Linked DNA regions of Saccharomyces cerevisiae S288C. Changing the gene in region 2 together with the main gene of any one other region gives a genetic interaction. Each region holds a gene or a part of one and is shown on either strand. Other genes may lie near its edges. The genes, in order: HEL2 and YEF3.

Region 1 (4,307 bases), on a different chromosome or scaffold from region 2:
GACCCTCTTTTATTTCAAAGGAGCTTTTTACAGTATTTCCAAAAGGATTTTTGGTATGAGATATGTTTTTAAACATATATTGTCAAAAAATGAGGCCAATTTTAGAGAAGAGGGCTCACAAAAGTACAAAGTATTAGGTTATATCCTATTAGCTCAAAATGTTATGAAATGGTACCCTGTCCTAACCTCTACGCTCGGGTCCTGGATTTATGGGAGAAAAAGGACCAATGATTCAATTACTAGGTCGTCTGTTGGTCTACAGGAGCGTTCAGAACATGAATCTATAGAAGGCATACCGAAGGAATCGCAGCTGACTCATATAAATTTGTCAGATAAAAACCAATTGCCATTTATTCCAGAAGCCTCGAGAAAATGCATCCTATGTCTCATGAACATGAGTGATCCTAGCTGCGCGCCATGTGGACATCTATTTTGTTGGAGTTGTCTTATGAGCTGGTGTAAAGAGAGGCCAGAATGCCCCTTGTGCAGACAACACTGTCAACCACAGGAAATTCTGGTCCTGCGGCAATAGAGGAACTAATCAATAATTTGACTACTCTTTTAGCATTGTCCACAGGCCTTTTTCAGAAATAACGCAGACGTCTGAGCAGGAGAAGTAAAACGCGAAGGGGAAATAATGCTTTTTAGTCTTGTAATTATATTAATTAATTAAATAAGTTTTTCTTTATCGGAATTTTATTTAAGACTTTCATTTCTCTAATGCTATTGTCAGTTACAGGTTAGAAATATATTTCCAACTATACACCAATGTGGAATAACAGCTGCTTTTGTTTGCCTTTCTTTTTATTTCCTCCACTAGTTGTGTTCAATTCCCTCAAATTATCGTGCACGTTAGTATCTTGTGTGCTTGACTTTTTACCCCACTGCTTAGGATCAGCAATTTGGGGTCTGTTCAGACCTGGAATTTGCACCTTTGGCTTTGGTGGAGGTAGTTGAGGTAGGTTGAGACTTTTCAATTTATCTTTGCTATTATTTAGAGAAGTAGAAGAGGAACCCTTTTTACTTTCCAAATAGGTTGGAGAGAAGGCGACTGTATTAGTGGAAGTTCGATAACTAACTGATTGAGGTGTAGTTCTTTTAATGTTTTGCACGGGTCTCAGAGTGTTTTTTTTTACGGTGGTTGCAAAGGGATCATACGACGCTGAAGGACTTTTCAGGGTTGGAAGATTTTTGATATTCCTAACGCCTAATGCTGCACCAGCGCTGCCCCCATCGTTTGTTCCACCCCAATGGCCCCTGCCTATTGACATTGAAAGGGAAGAATCACTAGATAAAGAAGGTAGTGAAGTTTGTCGTGCAAGGGTTTGCTCTCTTTGTTCATATATGGCGTTCAGATTATTGTATTTGGAGGAGTTTTTGGGAAAGGTTTCAGCTAAGTTATGAATCAATAAATATACATCCGCATTTGGTTTTGTGAATAACAATTTATATGATTCCAATAATTTTTCAGCACTTAAGCGACCTTTAGAATAATCTTCGTTATAAGAAGAAAACTTATTGAAGTCTTCTTTGGAATTTTCCAGATAGTATTTTGCTCTTTCTGCCAATCTTAGTCTACTTTCCTCGGGAGAACTAGCAGATCTCACATCAGTTCTAGAGCCGGATGATGAACCCGGTAGGGAAGATATAGATGGAAGGTCGTAATCATCTCTTTCCCTGATCACTCTAGATGGAGCCGAGATAAAAGTAGAAAGTTCTGACTGGAAAAACTTTGGCTTTCCCTTCAGGATATTACCATGCTCCTGCAAAATGTGGGCTTGTAACTCCAACTCGTCTTTAAATACGACAAACTTGTTATCTAAGCAAGTTTGGACGGTGCAAACGTAATGCGAATGTTTAAAGTGGTCAAAAAGCTGATTATAATCCTTAAAGTATTGAGGAGAAGCGGGGTTCATCTTATCACAAATATGGCACTTTTCATGCTGATTTCTCATGTGAATGTACAATTCGTCGTCTGAATAAAATCGTTTTCCGGAACAGAAGGCACACATAGGGTGGCCTTTGAATCCTTCTGAATTACCCTTAGTTTGATGGTTGCGTAATTGATTTTGGGTGAATATTTCAAGCTCACAAGGGAATGCATGCTTATGGGTTGCACATATTAAACAGATCATTCTGTTATGTTCAGATTTCAAGTGTTCATTATATTTCTTGAAACTACCAAAGTCACAAACTTGTTCATCCTTCGATAGGGGACAAAAAAATTTTAAAAGATTTAGTGTTTCGGTAGCAACCTCTTCGCTAGTGAAATTTATTCCATATTTTTCATTTTTTTCGCAAAAGTTATATTTATCTGAAATATCACCATCTATGCGATCGGTAAACATGACTTCTTCATTCTCCGTTCTGCAAATCAAACAGCTTTTCTTGTTGTACAAAGCTCGTTGTCTGAAACCACAGATATGGCATGTCTTATGATGGCATGGTGTTAGAGATACGTATGTTAACTTGCGCGCACAAATTACACATAATTCATTTTCTTCATCAGTATCATCTGCGCTTGAAGTGGTGAGGTTGGGTTCAGCAGAAAGGTTATTTTTCTTTTGCTTTCTTCTGAAATTCTTCCTGTCGTTGTGAGGTTTTGTATTATTTTGGGGCCCTTGAGTACGACGGAAGTTACGTGTCGGAGTAACGTTTTCTTTCACTGATTCGCTCATCCTAATTCTTGAAAAGAAGTATAGCCACTATTTTTTCGACGAAAGAGACTGTATCAAAATGCACTTTATGGATCTTTTTCAGCTAGGTATGCGCTCGACGATTTGTTGAATATGGCTGAGTGGGCAGTCGTTCAGATGCCCTTTTCAAAATCTTAAGAGAAAATCAGAAAATATAGCTATTATTAAGAGTGACCGCGAGTATGAAACTTTCAGTGTAACCTTTCTTTATTCGAGATAATGCTTAATTACAAGTCTTCCGAATATCTAATTTTTTTTTTTTTCATTTTTAAATTTCAGTTTTTACCGCATGCTTTTAATGCAGGGATATGTATAACGAGGTCACTCCGTCACACATGACAGAATTGCGTTATAGTGATACAAAGGTTTATGTAACTAGGTAGAAAAATCGTCATTAAGTTTATTTTTAGAATTCAGATCGATCACTGTGTTAATATGAGTTCCTGAATTGTACTCTTGCTTCTACATCTACGCTGCTTTTTCTAGAGACCAGAAATTTACGATCCCGTCGTCACCGCCTGTTGCAAGTATAGTTTTACCATTTAACTCCAACCACTTCACAACGTTGATTTCATAAACTCCATGACATAATGCACGTTTAGCAAAAACTTTCCATTCTCCGTCTACTTCTTCATAGACCGCTAGTACTCCATCCGCTCCTACACTAGCAATGAGGCCATTAAAGCCCCATGCAACATTGTATACCTGTCTTTTGTGTACATCCGGGAGAATAGCTTCACAAACCCATTCTTGTTGATCATCCTCGTCGTCACCCATGTATTTCCATACCCGTACAGTGGAATCGTCGCTTCCACTGCACAGTCTAAACACGCCCTCAGTCTTGTCAAAATCAGAAGACCAAACAGTTCCTTCATGGCCATTTAAGACAGCAACACATTCCCAGTCATCGTCATAGTCTTTCCATATCCTGACGGTGTCATCATAAGAACTTGAAGCCAGTAATGCTTCAGATGGATGCCATATAACATGTTTAACGTCTTGTGAATGTTCTTGCAAAACACTAATACACTCATATTCCTCGCCACTTTCATCTGTTTCCCATATCCACACGCTTTTATCTCTGGAACAGGTTGCTAGGTAATATCCATCATTCGACCACGCTACACCTTTTACTTCATTTTCGTGACCTTCGATAATAGCTAGCAGGTCCATCTCGAAAGTTCTGTCAGCAGATTCTTCCTTAGCCCAGATAGATACAGTGGAATCAAAAGAGCCAGCCGCTAACAGCGAAGTGTGAGGTCTCCACGCCACAGATCGAATCGCCTTTTTATGAGCAGTCTCATCTAGCACATCAATTAACGTAAAATCGTCATATTTCACGCTAACTAGCTTAATTTTTCGATCAGTTGAACCTGTTGCTAATATACCTTGAGAAAAGTCAAAAGACCATATCTTTTCCTTGTAAAGTTTCAAAGACTTAATCAGATTGATAGACGCCATTACCAAATAAGTAAACCAATTGAACTATTAAAATGTCGTGGTATAGCCCGATTTTGATTTGTGATATCTACAAATCTAGTATTTATTCGCAATTAATGAGGCAAAGACGATACAATATTCGATGTGAGATTTTTCAAAACACGGCCCGCT
Region 2 (5,682 bases):
GTGATTTTGGTATTATCATCAACATCCAATAACCTCATAATAAGGCTAACAACACGCTTAGCCATTTCATTGTCAATTTTCTCAGATTCATCGTGTTGTCCCATACCATCACCAGCCCCCACAATTTCTTCACGGTTCAACCCGTAGAGAGATAGAATATCGTTTTCATCTAAAAATCCTTTCTTCTTGATATCATGTAACGCGAAGAAAGTCTCTGGAGTGTAATCTTTTAGCTGATGCTCATGGTCCATATGCCACTCCTCCCAGGATAAACCATCAGGTGGTGCCTCATTTTCCACATTAATTTCAGATCCTATTTCTGCCGTGGCAGTTACTTTATATAGAGTGAAAGCCAAAGAAAATACAAATCCCCTCAAAAACCTCATTTCCACAATTTTAATAGAACAGGGATGAAAAAATTTTAGGTCTTGGCTCTTTTATCTTTTCTAGAAGGAATATAATATTACGCTCAATCATGTTTTAAAGCTTCCTAGTCTATGATCCGTCACCTATTTTTATTCTTCCAAAAAAATATTTTCGTTACCCTCTTACCGAAAAGGGTATGAGGCAATGCTCAATTTGCCTGAGCTTAAGAATGTATGAAAAAAAAAGATGTCTGACTAATGGAACGCTTTTTCTTTTAAATAATGCCTTTCTTTATAATAAGGAAGTTGCGTCTATATTTTACCAAAATAAACAATATTACAAAAACATAGAAATTAAAATATACATAAATTATTGATCAATAAAAATCTTAAAGAAAACTGTGAAAGCAGTGATCAAAAAGATTAGAATTCTTCGTCAGAAGAAACGTAAGCATCACCCAATTCCTTCTTCTTCTTCATTCTTTCCTTCTTCTTCTTTCTCAATTCCGCAGAAGACAACTTCTTCTTCTTCTTACCACCGGCAATCTTGTTACCCATAGCATCGAATTTATCTTCTTCGTCTTCCTTCTTTTCGATTCTTGGACCAGCACCTTGACCACTAACCCAGTTGTGACCAGATGGAGTCATTCTACCGTCCTTGACGGCCCAGACTTCTTCAGTCAAGTTCTTTGTGAATTCAGCAGAGTGAGTAATGATAATAACACCACCTTCAAATTCCTTCAAAGCCTTAGACAAAGCACCCAAAGAATCTCTGTCCAGATAGTTGGTAGGTTCATCTAAGACAATCAAGTGAGGTCTTTGCCATGTACCGGCAGCTAAGACCAACTTAACCTTTTGACCACCAGACAAACCTCTAATTCTGGAGTGAGAAACAATTTCTGGGTCCAAACCCAACATGGAACAATGTTCTTCAATTTCTTTTCTGGTTAATGGACGGAATTGACCAGAAGCCAAAGCTTCCTTCATATCAACTTCAGCAACCATCTTAGAGTGAGATTCAACCAATTCACCTCTTGGAATCCAAGCGTTGTCGACGGACATCATTGGAACCCATCTTTCAGATTTCATACCAATGTTTTCACCCAATAAGAAAGAACATTCATATTCGTAAGTGTTCTTGAACTTTCTTCTGGAGTGGATACCGGCAATTCTTCTAGGGGTACCTTCAATCTTGAAGATCTTGTTCATAGCTTCAGCATCGTTTTCGTTGATTTGTCTGTTAGCTCTGTCCATGGTTTCTCTATCTTCACCGGTTTGGAATCTCCATTGGATATATTCAGATGGAGTCTTGTCCAAATGAGATTCGATATGAGCAAAAGCGTGTTGCTTAATGTAAGCGATACGACAATTTTCGTGGGTGTAGACTTCACCAGAGGTTGGTAATAGTTCACCAGTCAAGACGTTAATCAAAGTAGACTTACCAGCACCATTTGGACCAATGACAGCAATTCTGGAAGACAAAGAACATTGGAAGTTAATGTCAGTGATTTGTGGCTTAGAGGTACCTGGATATTGGAATTCCATGTTGGTAACCTTGACAATAGCCTTTTGCTTAGTCTTAACACCTTCCAAGTAACCTGGTTCTGGGAACTTGAATTCCAAATCAGTGTTGGATAATTCTTCGTAAGCCTTAGCAGCTGGACACTTCTTAACGAATTCGGTAAAGTTACCCTTGTACTTTCTCAACTTCAAACCTTCGTAGTTAATAATATATTCACAGACGTTATCTAAGAAAACGGAGTCGTGAGAAATAGTGATAGAAGTGATACCACAGGTGTTCAAGTAGTTAACTAACCAAGCAACGTTGACGGTATCCAAATGGTTAGTTGGTTCATCTAACAACAAGATATCAGCATTTCTCAACACAGCTCTAGCTAGAGCCAACTTCATCTTCCAACCACCAGACAAAGCAGAGATTGGCATAGCAATCATTTCATCGGTGAAACCGAATTCAATCAATTTGTCCTTGATAGCTTCTTTAGTACCAACACCAGATTCGAAAACGAAATCCAAGACGGAAGTGTCAGAGTGAGTACCATCAATGTCGTGTTCGACGTAGACGGTTCTACATTCTTCTTGGGTTGGGAAACCATCAACTTGACCGTTGGCAATAGCTCTCATTAAAGTGGACTTACCACAACCGTTTGGACCACAGATACCATATCTTCTGGCTCTCTTCAATCTTAATTGGGTCTTGTTCAACAAGATTTTAGCACCATAAGCCAAAGAGAATTCACAGTTACATAAGTCTTCACCTTCGTCTTCTTCGTCGTCGAAGTTTGGACCAACTGGAATGTTGTCGACAGCTCTCTTTCTGAATTCGTCCAAGATGTCCTTGGCCTTCTTTTCGTGCAAGAAGATAGTCATGTATGGGGTGATGTGGGTGAACCAAGCTTGTTGGTCAATGATTCTTTCATCGATCAAATCAGCACCAATGGCGGCAATGTACTCGACGACAATCTTAAATCTTGGAGCAACGGTTTCGTCCTTCAACAATTCGTTAACGACTTGCAAAGTAGTAGAAACGTCACCAGCGTGAGAAACTTCTGGAATAGCATCGTCTTCACCAACGTTACCAACTCTTCTCAAAGTCTTCAAAGCTCTCAAAGTAACTTCTCTGGCTTCTGGGTCAGCAATGGTAGCAAAGTTACTCTTCAAACCTGGCAACAATTTACCCAAGAAAGGAGCAATAACTTGTGGGTCTTCGACCAACTTACACATGTTGTCAATAATAACAGCAGACTTACGCTTGATACCGGTTTCTCTTTCGTTCAAACCTCTGGACAACAATGGGACCATGATGGACAAAGTAGCTGGAGTAACTTCAGCAACGAAAGTAGTAGCACCTAACAAATGAACGGTTTCTGGAACTTCAGTTGGGTCAGCAATACATTGAATCAAACTTGGAATGAAACGTTCAATATCCTTGTTGTCAACAGTTTCGGTAGCCTTGGTCATGGCGGCAGTAGCAGCAGCCTTGACTTCCTTCTTGGTGTCCCACATGGTTTCAGACAAGACTGGAATCAATTCTGGCATTCTTAGGGCAACTTGATCCTTAGCAGCATCGACCATAGCAGAGATAGCTGCCAAAATAGCAATCTTTTCTTGCCATTTGTTAGTTTCGACAATAGCGTTAGTCAAATGTGGCAACAAAGCTTTGATGGCAACTGGGTTAACAGCGTTAACGATGGAAATCAAAGTTTCGGAAGCAACAGATTGAATTTCTTTGTCCTTGTTACCTGCGTTGGTACAGATAGCTGGAACCAATTGGACGATGTATGGTTCAACAGATGGAGACAAGTTAGATTGGTTAGCAATGTGAGCAACAGCTTGCATGGCGTTAGCAGCGGTCTTCTTGTCCTTGATACCCTTGGCCAATTCACCGAAGAAGTGTTCTGGAACATCATGTTCAATGATGTTACCATTCAAGAAAGAAGCGACTTCAGAAGCGATTTCGTGTCTGTTGTCAGCAGTGGCAACAGATAACTTCTGGAATAGTTCTTCTAGAACCTTAATGGATTGCTGGGAATCAGACATCTTTTAATGTTATCGATGGATTCGAACTAGAAAAATACACGGTTCTTTAGAAAACAATTAAGGAAAGAAAGAGAGCGTAAGAAAAAGAGATATTCTACAAAATTTTGATGCAAAAGGTTTTTATAAAACTTCTTATCTTATATGAAAGATGAGATGAGATAATTATACTCGAGGAAGCGAAAAAATTTTCACCAACGCAAAAAAAGAAAAAGAAAAAAAAAAAAAAAACATTAAAAACGTTTCTTTTTCACGTGCTAAGTGATCTAATAATTTAGGGTTATGCATGGGTGGGGCCGGATAAACCGCGGTTGAAAGTGATTAAACGGAGTCTTTTCTTTTTTTTGCTTCTTCGTTTCTTTTTTTAATTTCTTCTTTCTTCACGAATATTTATTACCCAGCCTGTCATGATTTTTTGATACGTAATTGCCCTGGTTGGGCCCTTTTGCGAGTGGCAGTAAGTATGGAAGGGGCGAACAATGATTGTAAGTTGTTTTTTTAATAGGGTAACGACCGGGTAAAATAGAAAGAAGTGTTGACTAAGAAACGGGAATCAACATTCACTTGCTTATCTTAAAATGTTATGTATATATACGCCCTGTAGATATGTATAAAATATATACTTGTAGAAGGAGTTTAATGTATATATATCTTTTAAAAAGGAATAGGTAAAAAGATTGAAACAGAAGGGAAAGTTGCTATTCCCTGATAGTGGCGCTTATTGGAATTGTAGGCCCTACGTCATTTTCTTGAACTTTTTTTCTTCTTTGCAGAATCGTGGACGTATCCAGCGTTAATTGGAACATATTTTGTTCCAGCTGTTCATCGCCTTGGGCGCCACTGTAACTATCTTCCAATTCTTCGTCCTCAGCAAGCGAGCCTAATCCTCCACGTGTTCCCATACGGTCTTCTTCGGTACGTTTCACAGCATTACCAATATCAAAGGCGTCACGCATAGCAACAGCAGCTGGTGAAAACAGTAGCGAGGAGTCTCTTTGAAATAGTTGGAATTGTTTCTTATGCGGATGGCGTCTTTCGGAAGTACCTGCTTTCTTTTGTGAAGATTCGCCCTCCTTTGGTAAACAATCGAATGTATTTAACCATGGGTCGTCCAAAAACTGGTCAATGTCGTATCTTTTAGACGGCTCTAGTTCTAATAGCTTAGCCACGGCATTCTTGGCACCGGCGCTGATTTCATCCCACCAAGGTTTCAGAAAGGTATACTCACCCCTTGATATTTTTTCAGTTAAAGTGTCAATTTTCTCATCATAGAATGGCGGGAACCCACATAACATTGTGTACAAAACGCAACCAATCCCCCACATATCCACTTTCATAGAATAATGCTCATCTTTGACAACTTCAGGGGCAGTGTAACCGACTGTACCACAAGGAGTCTTGGTGTTCTTGGAAAATATTTGTTTAGACAAACCAAAATCAGCTAGTTTTACTATACCAATTCCACCACCACCAACTCCTGGTGTGAAAATTCCCTCGTCTGCCTTTGTTTGCGGATCATCCGATTTCCTCAATTTTGGTTTTATAGAGCGTGTGAATTCAATCGGTTCAAAAAGAAGATTCTCAGGTTTTATATCACGATGCACTACACCTAGTGAATGCATATGTTTAACAGCCAGTGCTAATTGTTTGATTACATGCCTTGATAAATCTTCACTGAAATAGGTCAACCTAACAATTTCGCCGAAGATTTCCCCACCGGTTAGTAACTCTTGAATAATATAATAATAGCTATCTGTTTCTT

What was found.
Region 1: of YEF3 (region 2) and HEL2, changing one suppresses a phenotype caused by changing the other (phenotypic suppression), as found in Saccharomyces cerevisiae (one study listed by BioGRID).

Annotation. Positions count from the first base shown.
Region 1 is NC_001136.10:999,346-1,003,652, forward strand, and holds HEL2 (E3 ubiquitin-protein ligase HEL2), read right to left. Parts: upstream 2,679-4,307; coding exon 759-2,678; downstream 1-758. Other genes in the region: PEX10 (ubiquitin-protein ligase peroxin 10), read left to right, coding at 1-532; iron-sulfur cluster assembly protein CIA1, read right to left, coding at 3,165-4,157. UniProt on the Saccharomyces cerevisiae protein: E3 ubiquitin-protein ligase that plays a key role in the ribosome quality control (RQC), a pathway that takes place when a ribosome has stalled during translation, leading to degradation of nascent peptide chains.
Region 2 is NC_001144.5:635,021-640,702, reverse strand, and holds YEF3 (translation elongation factor EF-3), read right to left. Parts: upstream 3,924-5,682; coding exon 789-3,923; downstream 1-788. Other genes in the region: nucleobindin SSP120, read right to left, coding at 1-386; serine/threonine protein kinase RCK2, read right to left, coding at 4,619-5,682. UniProt on the Saccharomyces cerevisiae protein: Ribosome-dependent ATPase that functions in cytoplasmic translation elongation. Required for the ATP-dependent release of deacylated tRNA from the ribosomal E-site during protein biosynthesis.